2 linked regions of the Arabidopsis thaliana genome follow. The protein of the gene in region 2 interacts with the protein of the main gene of each other region in a pairwise test. Each region holds a gene or a part of one and is shown on either strand. Other genes may lie near its edges.

Region 1 (8,883 bases), about 12 Mb from region 2:
ATACCTGATCCGCATAATGAACCGTATTTTTCCTGCACCACAAGAATCTGCCTCTAGTTGTAATTTTAAGATGCAAATGCTGGAATATGGAGTACATTTTCCTTACCATTCTAGGATGATTAGAATATTATGACTTGGAAATACAAAAATAAACAATATAATGGTGTCCTATCTCCTAAGTACCTCTTTGTTATGGTTCAAGACAACAGCACCTACACGAACACGATGGGAAGCATTCAAAGGAATAGTACTCTCGGCTTCCGGAATCCAATAAACTAGCATCAGGTAAGTTGGCTCAGCATGGTGATACCGGAAACCTTCCTGCATGCACAAATTATTTATGGGACCAGTTTGTTCATCCCTCAATGTAATAATACATGGGGATATGCAGCTATAACTTGGTATATCAACTATACATCCCATTAACCTAAATATGTCAAACCCAAAAAGATTTTCTTTTTAAAAACAAAACTAAAATATGTCCATGGTACAAAAGAGATTCATCTTAATACTAATATTAGCAATAGATAAGACAATGACATCTAATTAACAAAAGATGATAATTAAGTAACGTTAATATGCAAGACTTAGGAATCAAATTTAATCTGATATGTGACCTTAACCGCGGGTTCCACGAGGTTTACGTGTGAGAGAGGCAAGTTCAACCAGACTCCCTTTTTACCCTGACAACAAAAAACAAACAAAAAGGTTTTACAGAATCAACCGCTCGCTCACTCAAGAAGACAGAGATGCATGTGATCTCGCACCAACACAAACCTGTAAGCGCCACTGCTCGAATGAATCTCTAAGCGCTGCAACGAAATTCTTAGTATCCATAGGAGTTTTCATCTCCACGATGACTCCACCGTAATCATCATCCACAAACGGAAGTACTTCGAAAATCTTGTGTTCTACTCCATTACGCAGAGGAGCCTCTTGGTCTGACATGCTTCAAACTCTGAAAAAATTTGGAGGAAGATTGGAAGATTTCAAGTATTCAACGAAAAGGAGAAGATAAAGTAAAAGGAGAGTGTGGTTTCAACGAAGCAAATGATTTCAAAAGGAGAACAATCACGAGGCGGCAATGGCAGAAGTCAAGTAGTTATATAAACATTTAGATATTTACTAATAATGTACATTAGTGGGGTGGGTCACAAATCATAACCATCATAAATTCATAATGGCCTTCACATTAACCCGTCGAGGCCCTTCGGTGGAGTGACGTAGTCCCACACGTCACCTTTAACGCAAAAATAAGAAATCCATACGTAACACAAACCCTAATTAGAAATACTTTTGATCATGTCGCATGCTCTAATTTCCATTTTGACAAAATAACTCCGTTTAGTTTCATATTCATTAGAGAATGGGCTTACTGACATCATGGTACAAAAATAAAATGTAATTTCACGCCCACCGTGGGGCTCGAACCCACGACCAGAAGGTTAAGAGCCTTGCGCTCTACCAACTGAGCTAGACGGGCTTGTTGTTAATTTTCCAGCAGAACTATATAAATAATGTAAACTATCCCCATGTCTCATCTTGAGTAAAAGTGTTAAACATTCAACAATCTTTGGTCACACAAATGAAAAGGCCAACCTTTCAATGCCCGTTCGGCTCTGTACCTAGCAGCTACAAGAACATTTGGCATCTGTGCCTCGTACTGCTGTGGCAAGCCAGAAGATCGATGTGAAACCGCTCAATACCCACAGGCTCAGTTTCTCTCTAGAGGAAGTTGGAAAATCCCAGTGCTCGTGGTCGTGGAAGTGATGCTATCAAGGTTAATAAGATGCTTCGGAAACTCTGTTAATACCATCATTGTGGACATTCTCTTCAACATTCGACCCTGACCATAATTTGAATACAGTAAGAAATTCTCTTTATGATAAATCATCTCTTTTATTACACTGAAACATGACTACAAAGATCTATGCCATAAATTACATGACAAGAATGTTGACCAAAGAGGGACAAAAGTTTCTTATGCCTAAGAAGTAAGAACAGTAAGTCTGCAACCAACGTGGGCAGATCCATACGCGTCTCTGGAACTGATCAGACCATGTCTCTGCTCTGACATCAAATCAATATAATAGTAGATACAATCAGTGGTCCATAATCTTCTCTGCGGCCGTCTGTCTTAACTGCAGAGACTTAATGGAGCCAGAGAGACAGATGCCTTGATGCTACTTACAATCTCTCGAACAACAAAACAAACAAGAACTATTGACACTCCGAGAAGAAGAGATTTGACAAAGGTGAAGAACTAGGGCTCTGTTTTGCGCCTCAAGACAAAATAGGGGTCGACTCAGTAGACCACTTCCATACTTTAACTTGACCACTTCCATCACCGGTGAAAAATATGCCCCCGGGACCTATCTGGATTGACCGAATCTCTTGCTTAGCTAAAATTTTGCCCCTTTCCGTAAACCTTACATAAGAACAGAATCTAAGCTTTTGAAAGTAAAACATAATTGTATACTCATGAAACAAACAGCATTGGAAAGACTTACGATGGCAAATCATAGAGGTGCAACGAATTGTCATTGCACGAACATAGCAATACTGGCTTGGCTTCTGCATCATGGACGCCACAGAGAGCTAGCACGCCCTATATCCAAATAGCCATTGAGAACTTAGTTACATATAGAATGAATCAAGAGAAAGGGTAATATTTCAACAAAAATGCTAGGAACTGTACGTATTCTTCTTTGTGAGTATATGTCACTTCTAAGTTTCCACCTTCAGTAGCAGCCCATATCTACAACGGAAAAAAAAAAAAAAAAAAAACAGGGGGTAATGTCATATTCAGGAATCGAGCCAATTATCTAGCGAGTTAGAACCAAACCTTGACGGTATTGTCCAATGAACATGACAGAAGAAACTGATCCCAGCAAATGAGAGACATAACAACTGATGTATGCTCTGTAAGCGTTTGAATACACTGCAGATTATCCAGGCTCCAAACCTATTAAAAACAGATAAGGTAGGCCTATGAGCTTAAACAAAAAAAAAACAGAAAGGGGATTTTAATTTAGGTATAATAGGCACTGGTGACTACTTTTTAAGTAGTGCCACACTACTTACTTTTATAGAATTGTCCATGGCACCAGAATAGAGTCTGTTTGCCCCAACATATAAAGAGACAACTGCAAGCGTGTGACCCAATAGTGATGCAGCTGGATCAAAACAGCTAGTGGTGCTATTGTATCTCCAAACCAAAATAGAGCCATCCTGCAGAAGAATTTTTATCAAAATCCAATAGAACTGTAGATTTCTATAGCAGAGGTGGTTTTTCCAAGAGATGACGCAAACTTGAAATGATATTCAAGACAAAAAATGATTTTAAGTATATACATGACGCTGAAGCAAAATTCTACTCCAACTCTCCAAGGCCTTAGAAAAGAAGTTTACAGTCAGTAAAAGTATTTACTTGTGTGCCAGCGAACAATAGATCAGTACCCACAACCAATGAATATACTTGGCCAACAGGTCCATTGAGGCTCAGGTCTGCATTGTTTTGGATATTCCACGCCTGCATATAATTCAAAAATGTATATCCGTAACAACAATAAACCTCAACACATAGGACAACAAAAGTGATTCTCAGTATAGATGAAGAGTTTTAATAGTCAAGGAACCATGCAAATGAATCATACTCTGAACTTACCTTAACAAGATTTGGCATGCCAACCAATAGCCAGGGACCTTCACTAATGATGCAGCCAACTTCCCCACCAAGATTGAGTACACCTGTACACTACATCGTAGAAAAAAAAACAAATACTAGAATGAGAAGTACGCCTATAAAGTAGTCCAAACAACCAGCCATATCAAAATGATGTTTTAAACTCAATAGCTAAACTAAATATGGAGCGAAACTCAATCAAACAACAATAAAAGAAATAATTATCAGAGGCAAATCAAAACCTGTCCAGAAGCACAATCCCATATTCGCACAGTTTCATCTTTACTCGCCGTGTAAAGCTTATCTGATCCTGAAGGCAGAGCAATCCCAGTAACAACCTACTCGAGAAATCAGAACCAAAAAAAAAAAAAACTATCAACATCGCCAACAAGCACAAGAATCCAGCATCACTTATAAGGACACTCAACAACAAGATACCTTCTGATGCCCGTCAAGCTGCGTCAACAAGGAGAAACTATCTCCTTTGCTCCAGCAATGCAAGTATCTACATTTATCACCATAAGGGCAATTTCCATCAACCCAGAATTTGCAAAGTTTCTCCGTCTTGGTCACCGTTCTGTTCCCACCAAATCTTCCCCAGTTATTAGCAGTCCCGCTGAACCCAGGCCCTCTCCGGTGACTCGGACCCGCAAACCCAGATTCATCAGCGACCCTTTTATTTGAAGAAGCTGCTACTGGACCCGAACCCGGACCCGGCAATTCTCTATGCAGGTAAGGGCATGGGTAACGATTGCACCGGCCAGCTCGCCAGTGGAAACAAACCTTCTGATTTGAGTCCGTCGTCGGCCGATTAGAGCCACCGCCCAGTCTTTGAAAGACTCTCTTGTTTCCTCCGTTCATATCTAAATCCATCGAATTGGATTCTCTCTAAATTACGACTCAGAAAACTCGGAATTGGATTATCCTGTAAACGTCGAATGGATCATTACTGTTCAAAATACCAAATCCGATCATAAGTAAACAAAAACAAGCGCGAAAATCGAACGAACCCCTAACAGAATTTACCTCTCTGAATCAAGAGTACATAAATAATCTCTCACAAAGGAGTTTTCTTTGATAAATCAAAATTGGAAGAAGATGTCAAGCGGCTTCGGTTTTTTTTAATCTTCGGATCATTCTTGAAGAAAACATAAGTGAAGATCCCTCCACGTCAGCTTCACATCAATGGTCGTTTAATTTCTTCTTGTTTTACTATAAATTTTTGAAAATTTGATCTGTCTATAAACTATTGTTAATCAAAGTTGTATATAAAACCAGATTCTACCATTTGTAATTTTGTAGTAATTTGTTACAAATTACACCGAGTTAAGGTAAATTACTCAAAGGCTAGTCTCTGAGTGCCAACAAGTGAAGCATATGATCCCTTTTGCGCTACCAATTCGGAATGTGTTCCAAGCTCTATGATCTTCCCATCAGAGCACACAGCGATCTGATTCGCGCTCTGAACTGTGCTCAGTCTGTGAGCGATGACTAATGTTGTCCTGTCTTTCATCAGACGGTTCAACGCACTCTGGACTAACCGCTCGCTCACTGCATCCAGCGCACTTGTGGCCTGCAACAAAGTAAGCAAGAGAGAGACTAAGCAGAGATGTCTCATACTAACTGTTTGTGTTCTTGTTTGATATGCTATTACTTAGGTAAAGGTTCTAGCAAAGCAGACAGTTCATCAAAGGCGAGATTATTAAAATAAGAGTCTCTCACCTCATCGAGAATCAAGATGGGGGCATTCTTCAGCAGAGATCGGGCTATGGCAACTCTCTAACACATTGATAAACAAGCACATCAAAGCAGTTGCAAAAGTCTATCAGAAATCAAAAACATGTAGCTCATAATGTTTCTATACCTGTCGTTGTCCTCCGCTAAGCAAGCCTCCTCTTTCACCAACCAGTGTATCGTATCCCTATAAACAAACACCGGTATTGCTCACAAGAATTGATGTGCAATTGCCAGGAAGAAACAGGAAAGTATAAGGCACACGAATCTGAACCTGAGGAAGTGAGATTATAAAATCATGAGCGTTGGCAGCTTTGGCTGCCTTAATGATGTCGTCCTTGGACACATGCTCATTGGGGAGACCATATGCAATATTCTCGGCCACGGAGAGAGAAAAGAGAACCGGTTCCTGAATCACACAGAAAGATAACCTTTGAAGAAGAAGAGAAGAAATGATCCAACCATGCCTGACACATAGATGTTACGTATACACACCTGATTCACAATTGAGACAACCTTAGCCCATTCACTCTTGTCAAACATCCTCACATCTTCTCCACCCACAGTAATACGTCCTTGTGTTGGCTGCAAGAATTGAAAATTCAACATATCAGCATAATGTAAAAGTGGCAGTAAACATAGTCTCAACAGATATTAAACTTCAAATTGGAAGAGGAGGGTAGATTAACCTCATAGAAGCGTGCCAATAACTGTACAATAGTACTTTTTCCCGCACCACTAGAGCCAACAAGAGCAGTTACAGTACCAGAATTCAACGTCAAACTCAGCCCATCAAGAACTTTCACGTCGGGTCGTAGAGGATAAGCAAAATGCACATCTACACTAGACAAAATAGAACATGGAAAAGAAAAACAGATATGAAAAAGGTAAAAAGCTGTAGTAAGATATGATGAAGAGAGTTTTTCTTGGTCTGATTTTACCATCAAGACAGACATCTCCAGCCCATGTTAGGGTACGTAGATTGTTAGTTGATTTCAGATTTGACATGTAGTACTTATCGAGGTGACGGATATTCACATTTGGGCCAGCAGACAAGAACAATTTAAGGTTTTCATCTTGGACTTTCTTTGTATGTATATCTCTTTCTAACCCGTAGGCAAGAGCCTCATCTATGTCCACCGCGTTTAAAATGGAATTGATCCTGTCAATAGCAGCAAAAGTCCCACGTAGATCTCCAAACGTGTTTACAAGCCCTTGGACCTGGATAACAGAATCACTGGTTATGGTAAACTAAATTACATGTATAGCATATGTGTGACAGTAAATGATGTGTAGACAGAGGTACTTACAGCAAATGTTAGAGTGAATGTGTATCCAATGAACGAAACAACTGTTCCAACAGCGAGCTCACCCTGGGTTGGAGAAATTTTAAGAATAAGAACCAAGAAAAATAAAGTGCAAAAGAGCTAAAATGTAACAACATAAGAAACTACACAAAAGAGAGATACAGAGAAATTTGATTCTTAGTTTTTTTTTATTTAAAAATTCAGAAGGTAGTAACTTGATTCTAGCTAGAAACATCCAGTCATTTGTTCCAGAAAGTATAAACAACGAGTAACACTATCTTCTGCAATAGAAATTCATAAAAACACGATTCTCTTTATGTTTTAGGGGGCAAGAAGCATAATTTCAACTTGAATGATCATAATGGCAATCAACAAGTCTTACAGGCAGGTATATCTTACCGTCTTCACCTTGCTTCCCCCAAGACAGTAAAGAGCCAACAGAGAAATATAAACAGCAACTCTTGTTATAGATTCATTTATAGACTTGAAAGTACCAAGCTTTAAGCCGCTAAGCTTGTAAGCAAGAATCTGTACATCAAACAAAAGTTTAGATTAATAGATTATGGATCAGTTAGAAAAAAGAACAATTGTTTAGAAGAAATCAGTTTTAGCTAGTAAGAAGTCTGAAATATGACCTGACTACCGAAGATAGACATCTGACGTTTTTCGCCGCTGAATGATCTTACCTATAAAGAGATACAAATTACTTGAGTCTTCAAGGGTAAATCAAAGTTTCTTCAGATAATTTAATCTGCCCTAAAAGATACAAATACGATGAAGTCAAGAACTTACAGTTCGGATTGCAGAGAACGTTTCTGATACACAATCAGACATTGTTGCTTGAGCTAATCCATGCGATTTATAAACAGGAACAGTCGATCTCTTGTACACAGCTTTTGAGATTTGACCGAGGGAGTAGATGTAGAGGTAAGCAAAGTAAGCAAAGATGACCAAAGTAATTACCAAAAATAAAAAGTTTAGGAGAATGAAAAAGACATAGAGAATTTACCAACTAGAACTGACACAGCTAGCATCAATAGACCAAGTACAGGTGCAAGTTGAGGAGATAGAGTAAATAGGATACATATTGTTCCAAAAACCTACAAAAGGGATAACGCATAAGCCATGAGAACTGGGCATTCTTGAGATGCAACAGGATAGTCTTTGTCATTTATAGAACTCCAAAAATAACAGCAGACACCAACACCAGGCTAAGATTAAATCTGTATTCATTATGAAAAATGTATGTACAAACACAAAAATCTCACATTTGCATAGTAAAGAAATGGCTTGCCTCTGTAAATGCCCTAAATCCACGATCTCGTGAGATGTTATCATTCACAATGCTATTCAGAGCACCAAGATCAGACGTGAGTAGCCCCGTTAGCTCTCCAACCTAAAACAAATGAACTCAATCTAACATAAGGAAGGTTTGTGCCAAAATGTCTCAAACCTGAGCAAACCAAGAATAAAAGGAACAGACCTTGTATTTGTCGAAGAACTCTGCCTGAATATATAAAAGACAAAAAAAAGAAACCCATCAATGATATTTCAATACAGCCAACAATATAGCTTAAGCGAACTTTGATCATACTAAACAAAACATACCTTCTGGATCAAAACCCTTCTGAAAATCTGAGCTCTTAATATTGCCATAACGTTTTCCCAGATAGCAGTCATGTTGGTCACAAAAGCAATAGTAAAGATGGGTTCCAACGAGTACAAAACAGCAATTTTGCTCAGCAGCCGCCACAAAGGCTCCGGTCTCACCCCAATCAGTACTTCAAAGAATCTACCTTTACTCAAAACAATAACACTTACCATTATAAAACAGCTTCACCAAGATAAAGAGAAACACAGATGACAAGCTAAATCATCATACCCAAACTTAAACTACATCAAACCCAAAGAGAAAAAAAGAGTACAGTTACAATTTGCTAATGGTGGGAGAGTGGATTGAAGAACCGATTACCAGAAAAAACAGGCATAGAGAGAGTGCAAGTACTGCATCCAAGGAGAGTCAATAAGCAAACACTGAGCCTGAGCTTGTGCTTGCTCATCAAGCTCCACAGAAGCCCCCAACTAATTAAATCCTTCGATTCAGCCTCAGATTTGGATTCTTCAATCTTTGGGTCTGGTTCTTCCACGATAGGCGGC
Region 2 (7,520 bases):
CATTTACAGACCTATATCTACTTCGGTATCATCATCGGTTTAGGAGCTTAGCATGTAAGCAAGAAGAAGCTATGTCCATTATAGAAAAGATTCTGAGGAATGATTACGAAACATACCGGCATAGCAAATAGAAAGATCTTGACGTAACTCGAGATTAAGATCGTTAAAAGAATCTCTTTCCCTCTGCAAATCATATACTAACTTATTCAGGGCACGTAAAGATAAGACTCTGGCGAATAATAAAAGAAAAGCCTATATACCTTGGCATAACCAGCATCAACTTAGCAGCAAATGCAAATGAGAAAACAAATGCGAAATTCGCAGATAGTACATTGACCAGAACCTGTAAAATGCATACAATTTTAAGTTCTCATCAACCCAAATTTAAACAACGTTCAAGAGAAAAGAACCAACCTCTAGAGATTCAAAAAGAAAGCTCATAGACACATTTGATCCGTCATTGGTTCTTCTCAGTAGCAAGCTTCTATCTTTTGATATTGTTAAAGGCTCTCTCCAAAATACAACTTGTATAGAGTATATTAAATCTAAAGGATACAAGTATCTAGAAGAAGATAAGCCAAGACCAATTTCCATAATAGATGCTGCCAAATTGTTAAACCCTCTAAAGATCAGATAATTGTAGATTACTATTTAGAATTCAAACTTTACAAAACCAAGATTCACAATATGTTTACCTGAACATTTGCAGATTCTTGATTAACAACATTGTAGAGTAAGTGTCTATAAGCCTTTGTTTTGTGAAGAATCAAGTCGATGAAAATAATCTGATGATTATCAAAACACACAAAAAAATCAAAACTTGATGAACACAAAAGCATAAAAATTGAAACTTGAAAATAGAGAGACATATAGATATAGACCAATAGCTCACACTCGACATATTCGTCTGCTACTTCTTCGCAATTCTCCTACCAAAAATTGAACATCAAAAAAAGCTTTAAACTTTGGGGAGATTACAAGTAGAGATTAAGAACCCTAATTAGTTTTGGTAAAAGCTTACGCATTTCATGAGACGAAAATTTCCAGGAGAGTATTGTATGAACAAAGATTTAACCTTGTGCCCACACTCTACACACGTCTTCTTCTCTCTCGCCATCTCTCTGTGTCTGTGACTGTTGTCTCTCTCCTTCTCGATCGGATCCTTTATTCGGGTTATAACTTGGGCCATAATGGGCCTTTATTTGAACCTTCTTCTGGGCCTCTATTGACTATCGTTGTAATTAATACAAGAAATTGCATTCAGATTATAATATTTTGGGAACTTTAATCCAAGTCACTGTGACTTTAAAAATGAAATTAGGAATTCGTAAGTTTGATGGTATTACATTAGTTTAGTCTATTAGGTTTCAGCTTTGTTTTTGTTGTTTTTGGCTTAATTTTAACTAAAACTCAAAGATAATGCAGATAATGAAATCAAAACTAGAGTTCAAATTTTCAATTTTTGTTGTATTGAATAAATATTCTCACCAATCTTTACTTCAATAAAAATATATTTATTTAATAACACTAGGAAGAAACTCGACTGTTACATCAAGGTGAAAAAGAAGAACAATGGAAACCAAACAAGAGTAAATCAAATCTTAATTAACCAACCAAAAACGGAAGTAGCATATGCTTGACTAGTTGATATAGACGTTTAGTGATGATGGTGTCTGAAAGAGTCTAACCACCTTGTGAGACATTCTAAAGGTGACAACTTTAGAACATTGAGTGTTGGTCCGACCACGACTTGGAGCTTAATCCCACCTGGCTTTGAGCTAATGAATAATGGATTCATGGTTTGGTGAGCTTGATGAGATCGTGGCGTGTCTTGTGCACGGCTATTGGAGAATTCGGGTCACAGTATTAGAATTCAAGGTCACCGCTGATCTAGTAGACATAGTTGAATTCATTGTTGTATTCGAAAAGGAGACGGTCTCCAACGTGGAACTGTTTCTCTTTACTCCAGTTGTAATAGATATCACTATCGTAAACGCTCCAGCTTTTGGAGTCACTAACCTTGTAGATATTTTGGATATCTATTTTTCGTTATGATGGAACAATATATATCTCTTAAATATGAAGTTGTTTTCAAATTTAGGTGTTATTTTTTCTTTTCTTTATTTAAATGCAGTTTCTCTTCTTTACCTAGAAAACACAGTTAGCAACAAAAAATCCAATAGAAATTAATTATTGGATTCTATATATGACAAACTAATTATTTCAATTTCGTTTAAATATGGCACATCCAATAGAAATAAAAATCCAAACAAGTCACGTACGGATGTACGGACGAACGGTTGTGAGCTATGAACAAAACAAGAAACAAACGAAAGTAAATGAAAATAAATAGTAGAAATTTTGTTTTTGGGATAAAGTAAAAAATGAAAGAACATATCATACCTTTCATATTTCTTTTTTCAAAATTATCATTATAAACTGAAATTGTCCTTCCATAGCTTCTCTTTTTTGTTCTCTGTCCATAACCTACAAATCTCTTTAAACCAACCCAAGACAATAGTAACCAAACAAACTAAAATTGGACCATTGGTAGGGAAAGAGAGAGCGACACTTTTGAAACTGCCCATTAGCTTAGAATGTACCATGAAACTTTGTCAGCTTAGCTACAGATAGGCACAGAGAGTACAATTCATAAAATTTTATAAGCTTTTTTCTCCTTCCCAAGAGTATACATCTCAAACTAGAACCAAAACAAAGTTAGGATACAGAGATGAACACTTTTGATTTATGGATCGTTGTAAGCATTTAATTTGACAATATGAGTAACTATAGTTAAAAACTCAAGATTATATGAAAATTAAATGATTATTTATATTATTTATAAGCTTAATTTAACATTGAAAGATGGGGGTTTTCTATTCAACATGGTAATTAGGGCTCAAGGATCAACATGTTGAAACAAAAACTCTTAATTAAACCAATATATAGATATAAGCCCGGTTAATTTCCCACTACATATTCCCCAATTGCCAAATGATCTAATGAGTTGAAAGTTGGAACTAACTCTTAAAAGAAAATGGTGAATAAATTACTCCTTAGTTCTTATTTTATTCTATCTTCAAAGCTCTAAAGATTTCCCTTTCCTCTTATATTCTTCATCATCACTTAGCTGCATAGCCGAAGAAGACGATGCCATTTCGCCACGTGGCGACCTCCAAAATGATTGATCATCGTCTCTGATCACAACCGGAGACGAGGAAGAGTACCCTGCTACTCCCATTTCGCCACGTGTATCCCCTGAAGATGAAGACTCTTCCACGTCAACCCCAAACAGCCTCAGCTTCTTCGTCGTCGACGGCTGAGGAGGCGCCGACGGAGGTACCCTCCCCGCTGGAAAAACTGGAACCGAGTCATAAACCAACGGCTCAGATCGACCAAGATTCCACTGATGATGTTGATCCAACGGTGATCCTGCGTAGTAACGCACTCCATTACCATTAACAACTCTACCATAACCATACCCTAAATATTCCCGTTCTTGAAATTGGTTCTGATAAAACGGTGGAAAACTCCGGTATGGCATGGAATATTCCGGCGTCACCGGATAAAACCTAGCCGTTGGATATGTCGGAGACCCGAAAACGAAGTTATGATTGTTAATGTTGTGTACGAAGTTTATCTCGGCTCTAGGCCTCCAATCGATGAACATTATTTTCCGTCGTCTCTCCGGTTGTGCGTTATCGTCAGGGATGTAGCCACGGTAGAAAGAGACGGTGTCTCCGGCGAAGAGTTTCTTCTCCTTGACGAAACGGCTCCATCCTTTGGTCATCACGTAGCTTTGGCTACTGTTCCAATACGAGTAACGAAACCTCCACATCTTGCCGTTTTTGTCTTGGAAATCCAACACTGTGCCGTTTTGATTGTCCTCTAAAGGGAAGAAGTTCTCTGCATGTTGCTTTGGAATCACGAGCCGGTTTAGTTTACCGACGTCACTTGGTGTCAACACTTTGTCGAACATGTGCTCTCTCCTCTCCGAGCTGTAGAAGTAATTGGTGTGGTCGGAACTGCTAGCTCTGATCTCGGCGAGTTCTTGGTCAAGATTCATTGTTGAGATATTCATCAAAAGTATCAAGCTGTTTATATATGGGGTCTTGAGAAGATTGATGACCCAATTTCAAGATCTTTCAAAAGTATCCAACTTATAGGTTCTTGAAAAGAAGATGGACCAATTCAAGATCTTTCAAAAAGTATTCAACTTTATTTTTATGGATCTGAATGAGTGATTCTTGACAAGATCCAATACAAAATCCTTCAACATACATGAAATAATTTTATTAGAAATCAAATAAAAATCATCACCCCAATACTAAGGAAAAAAAGTAATACTTCAATCAAATAATTAAAAGTAAATGGAAGATGAAGTGAAGAACAAGAAGAAGAAAAAAAGCTATAACCAAAAAAACAAAAAGTGAAAAAGAAAACCCTAAATCCAGAAGAAGAAGACAGACGTACTCTTTCACTCTTTGTGTTTGCTTCTTCTTCTGATCTTTTCGTTGACTCCAAAAGAGAAATAAATGAAAATGAAATCAATGGTTTGGAGTTAAAAAAAAAAAAGGTTCTCTCTCTATCTTTCTCTCTAGATGACTTTAAGGGGTGAAGAAATATAGTGGCTTGAGAGAGATTTCCTCGATGATGGAGATGAAGATCAAATATTAGAGAAGAGTAAAGGGGCCCATGAATGGTGTGGTTCGGGTCATGTGAGAGCTTCTTGTCCTTTTCAATTAGCTATAGACTTGGGGTAACTCTAGCTATTTATATAGATATACAAATATATACATACATGTATTGTGTCAATCTTTTGTGAGACTATTTCCTTTTATTTTGATATCTGTATTTTTATTTTCATCTTTATTCATACCAGATCTTTTGTATTTATTATTTTCTGTTTGTTAGTTTCTTCTAATTAGTTCTTTACTTATTTTTAGCTAATTATATTAAATCATCATATATTATAACTAATTTGTGTATACCGAAGATAGAAAACCACACAAAAGTACAACATGAAGATTTATATTAACTATAACTAGATATGGCTCCACACATATGCTTACACGTGTTATTTCTGTATCAAAAAATGTAAAAAGACATGACCAAATTAAGAAAATAGGTTACATGATAGGAAGTTATATTAAATTATATTAGACCATGAAAAAATGTTTGTCAGTTTCTTCTATCTAGTTATTTTTAGCTAATTATATTAAATCATCATATATTATAACTAATCTGTGTATACCAAAGATAGGAAACCACACAAAAGTACAATATGAAGATTTAAATTAACTATAACTAGATACGGCTCCACACATATGCTTACAAGTGGAACTAGCTAATTTTAGTATCTATATATGTATATAAAAAATGTAAAAAGACCATGAACAAATTAAAAAAATAGATTACAAGATTGACACTAGACCAAATAAATAACTTTTTAATCTATACATGTAAGAAAATCATTAAAAAAAAATAATATTAGGTTTCTAGATAGACATTAGACCAGCTATATTATTAGTAAAGAAAATTATTAAATTAATCTATAATATAATATTAATCTGAAAGTTATGGAAATATTACTTTTAATAAATTTAAAATTTAAAATATTTTTTCTCTATTTTAAAAATATAAACACTAAAACATATTCATTTTATGTAAAATTATAATGAGACACTGTAAATTCTAATGAATATCTTAGTTTTTTTAGGTTTTTCCTAAGAATGCTGAAAAAAATAAAAATTCATTTAAACTTTTTAGAAATGGTCTTATAAGAAGGTTTAAGAATTTCTTATAAGACCAATTAGTAATTTCTTATAAGACCATTTCTGAAAGTTTAAGAATTTTACTTTGGTCTTTTGGATTTTTATTTATAAGAATTTATTTACTTTGGTATTTACCATTGATTTAATTCTTAAACATTTTCACAATGCTTTCTTAATACCAAAATAAAACTCTTAAACGTTTTCACCTGAAATTGTTAAATCAATGGGAGAAAAGGTTCGAAACATTTCTACAATGTTTCTTAAAACAAAATAAAGGTATTTTGTAAATTTTTATAACTGTGATAATTTTAAATTATAAATCTTAATTATTCAAGATTTTTTCAATTACTTACTAGTAAATATTTTTCAGGGGATAACCACATTTGTTGTCTAGGCGATAAGCAATAAAATCTTCTAGATATTTTAAATATAATATTTATTTGTTTTTGGTAATTGGTTTAGTATCTCCAATTTTAACAACTGGATATCAATCTCTCTCTTTTTTTTTTTTGAAACCACACCAAGTGGATTTCAATCTAATATCTCAATTAAAACTATATCTGTATACTTGTCTTAATTTGTCAAAATGTAAACACGTGTTAACTTCTTACAGATTTTATTTCATCATCTTAATTAGTTAACTCATATGGTTATGAAATAATGTATTCTTCTGACCCTTTTTTTTTGTTAAATCTTCTGACATTTTCCGTAATTAGATTTCACCTGTCAGAACTTAGCAAATCACATGGATTATCATTTATGTAAGAAAATCATAACAAATTTTGTCCAATTTGTCTGATTATGATTTTTACAAAACTCAAGTGGAAAGTAGCTCTGGTTTTCTATGTGTGTCCATGTTTTGTGGTACCCAACATTATATGCATCAACATCAAATAACAATAACGCATTTTGAATTATATATACAAGTCAATCCTTTTGTCCAAAAAAAAATATATACAAGTCAATCCATGTATGACTTTATGATTTTAAGAAATCTAGGAATGCATATGTATTTGTTGTCAATTTAACTTTCGGGTATTAGCTTTTGTTAACATGTTATAATAGAATACTTTTTCTTTGTTTGCATGTAAATTATTTCACTATGTGGTGTTTTTCTGTGTCCGACCGTGTTGCAATATAAATTACGGTAGCACACGTTATTATTATTATTTTTTTTTTGGACAAAATTTAAATTCAAATAACCACTAAACCGGGTCCAGTACAATCGTTTTAAGAGAACACTTAGCAATCTCATCAGCTTCGCCATTGTGTTTCCGAGAGATGAAAGAAAAACTAGATTGCAGAAAAGTAGAAGATAAACTCAGGATATCGTGTAGAATCCCGTGGAGTTCCAATGGAGGATCCCCCAAATTGATTGCGTTGATCAACTGCTTGGAATCGGACGCTATTACAATGTTTTGGATACCCAAAGTCGATGCATGGCAGAGAGCTTCGTGGATGGCGAGAGCTTCCGCTAAAAGAGGTGATCGAACATTCCTTCTTGAATTAGATCCAATCCTACTTGTTTCAGTGATGGTGGGATTGAAAATCCATCCTAAACCAACCAATTTATGTTCTTTGTTCCAGGCAGCGTCGGTTTGGCAGATACTAGTGTTGTTTGAGATTGAAATGATTTTCCCTAGGGTTTGCTGCAGAGGTCGGATATGGGTTGTATTCTGAGCTAAAAGCCACTCTCGTGCTAGACTGATTGCTCGAGCCAGAGTTTCAGAGGGGGAGCTGAGGCGA

What was found. The genes of interacting proteins can lie anywhere in the genome.
Region 1: the proteins of NGA4 (region 2) and ZFWD1 interact in a two-hybrid assay, tested with the Arabidopsis thaliana proteins (one large-scale study listed by BioGRID).

What each region holds. Positions count from the first base shown.
Region 1 is NC_003075.7:13,004,824-13,013,706, forward strand, and holds ZFWD1 (zinc finger WD40 repeat protein 1), read right to left. Parts: upstream 4,796-8,883; 5' UTR 4,712-4,795; exon of another isoform or gene 4,611-4,711; 5' UTR 4,559-4,610; coding exon 4,124-4,558; intron 4,024-4,123; coding exon 3,928-4,023; intron 3,758-3,927; coding exon 3,668-3,757; intron 3,533-3,667; coding exon 3,431-3,532; intron 3,232-3,430; coding exon 3,085-3,231; intron 2,966-3,084; coding exon 2,846-2,965; intron 2,759-2,845; coding exon 2,699-2,758; intron 2,609-2,698; coding exon 2,511-2,608; intron 2,429-2,510; coding exon 2,284-2,428; 3' UTR 1,867-2,283; downstream 1-1,866. Other genes in the region: NUDT10 (nudix hydrolase homolog 10), read right to left, coding at 1-47, 184-321, 618-683, 778-948; ABCB28 (non-intrinsic ABC protein 8), read right to left, coding at 5,022-5,258, 5,408-5,464, 5,550-5,606, 5,694-5,828, 5,915-6,004, 6,109-6,257, 6,361-6,640, 6,730-6,792 and 8 more.
Region 2 is NC_003075.7:636,352-643,871, reverse strand, and holds NGA4 (AP2/B3-like transcriptional factor family protein), read right to left. Parts: upstream 4,626-7,520; 5' UTR 4,474-4,625; intron 4,271-4,473; 5' UTR 4,082-4,270; coding exon 3,080-4,081; 3' UTR 2,896-3,079; downstream 1-2,895. Other genes in the region: ARV2 (Arv1-like protein), read right to left, coding at 117-183, 261-343, 415-488, 557-602, 696-929, 1,022-1,117. UniProt on the Arabidopsis thaliana protein: Regulates lateral organ growth. Functionally redundant with NGA1, NGA2 and NGA3.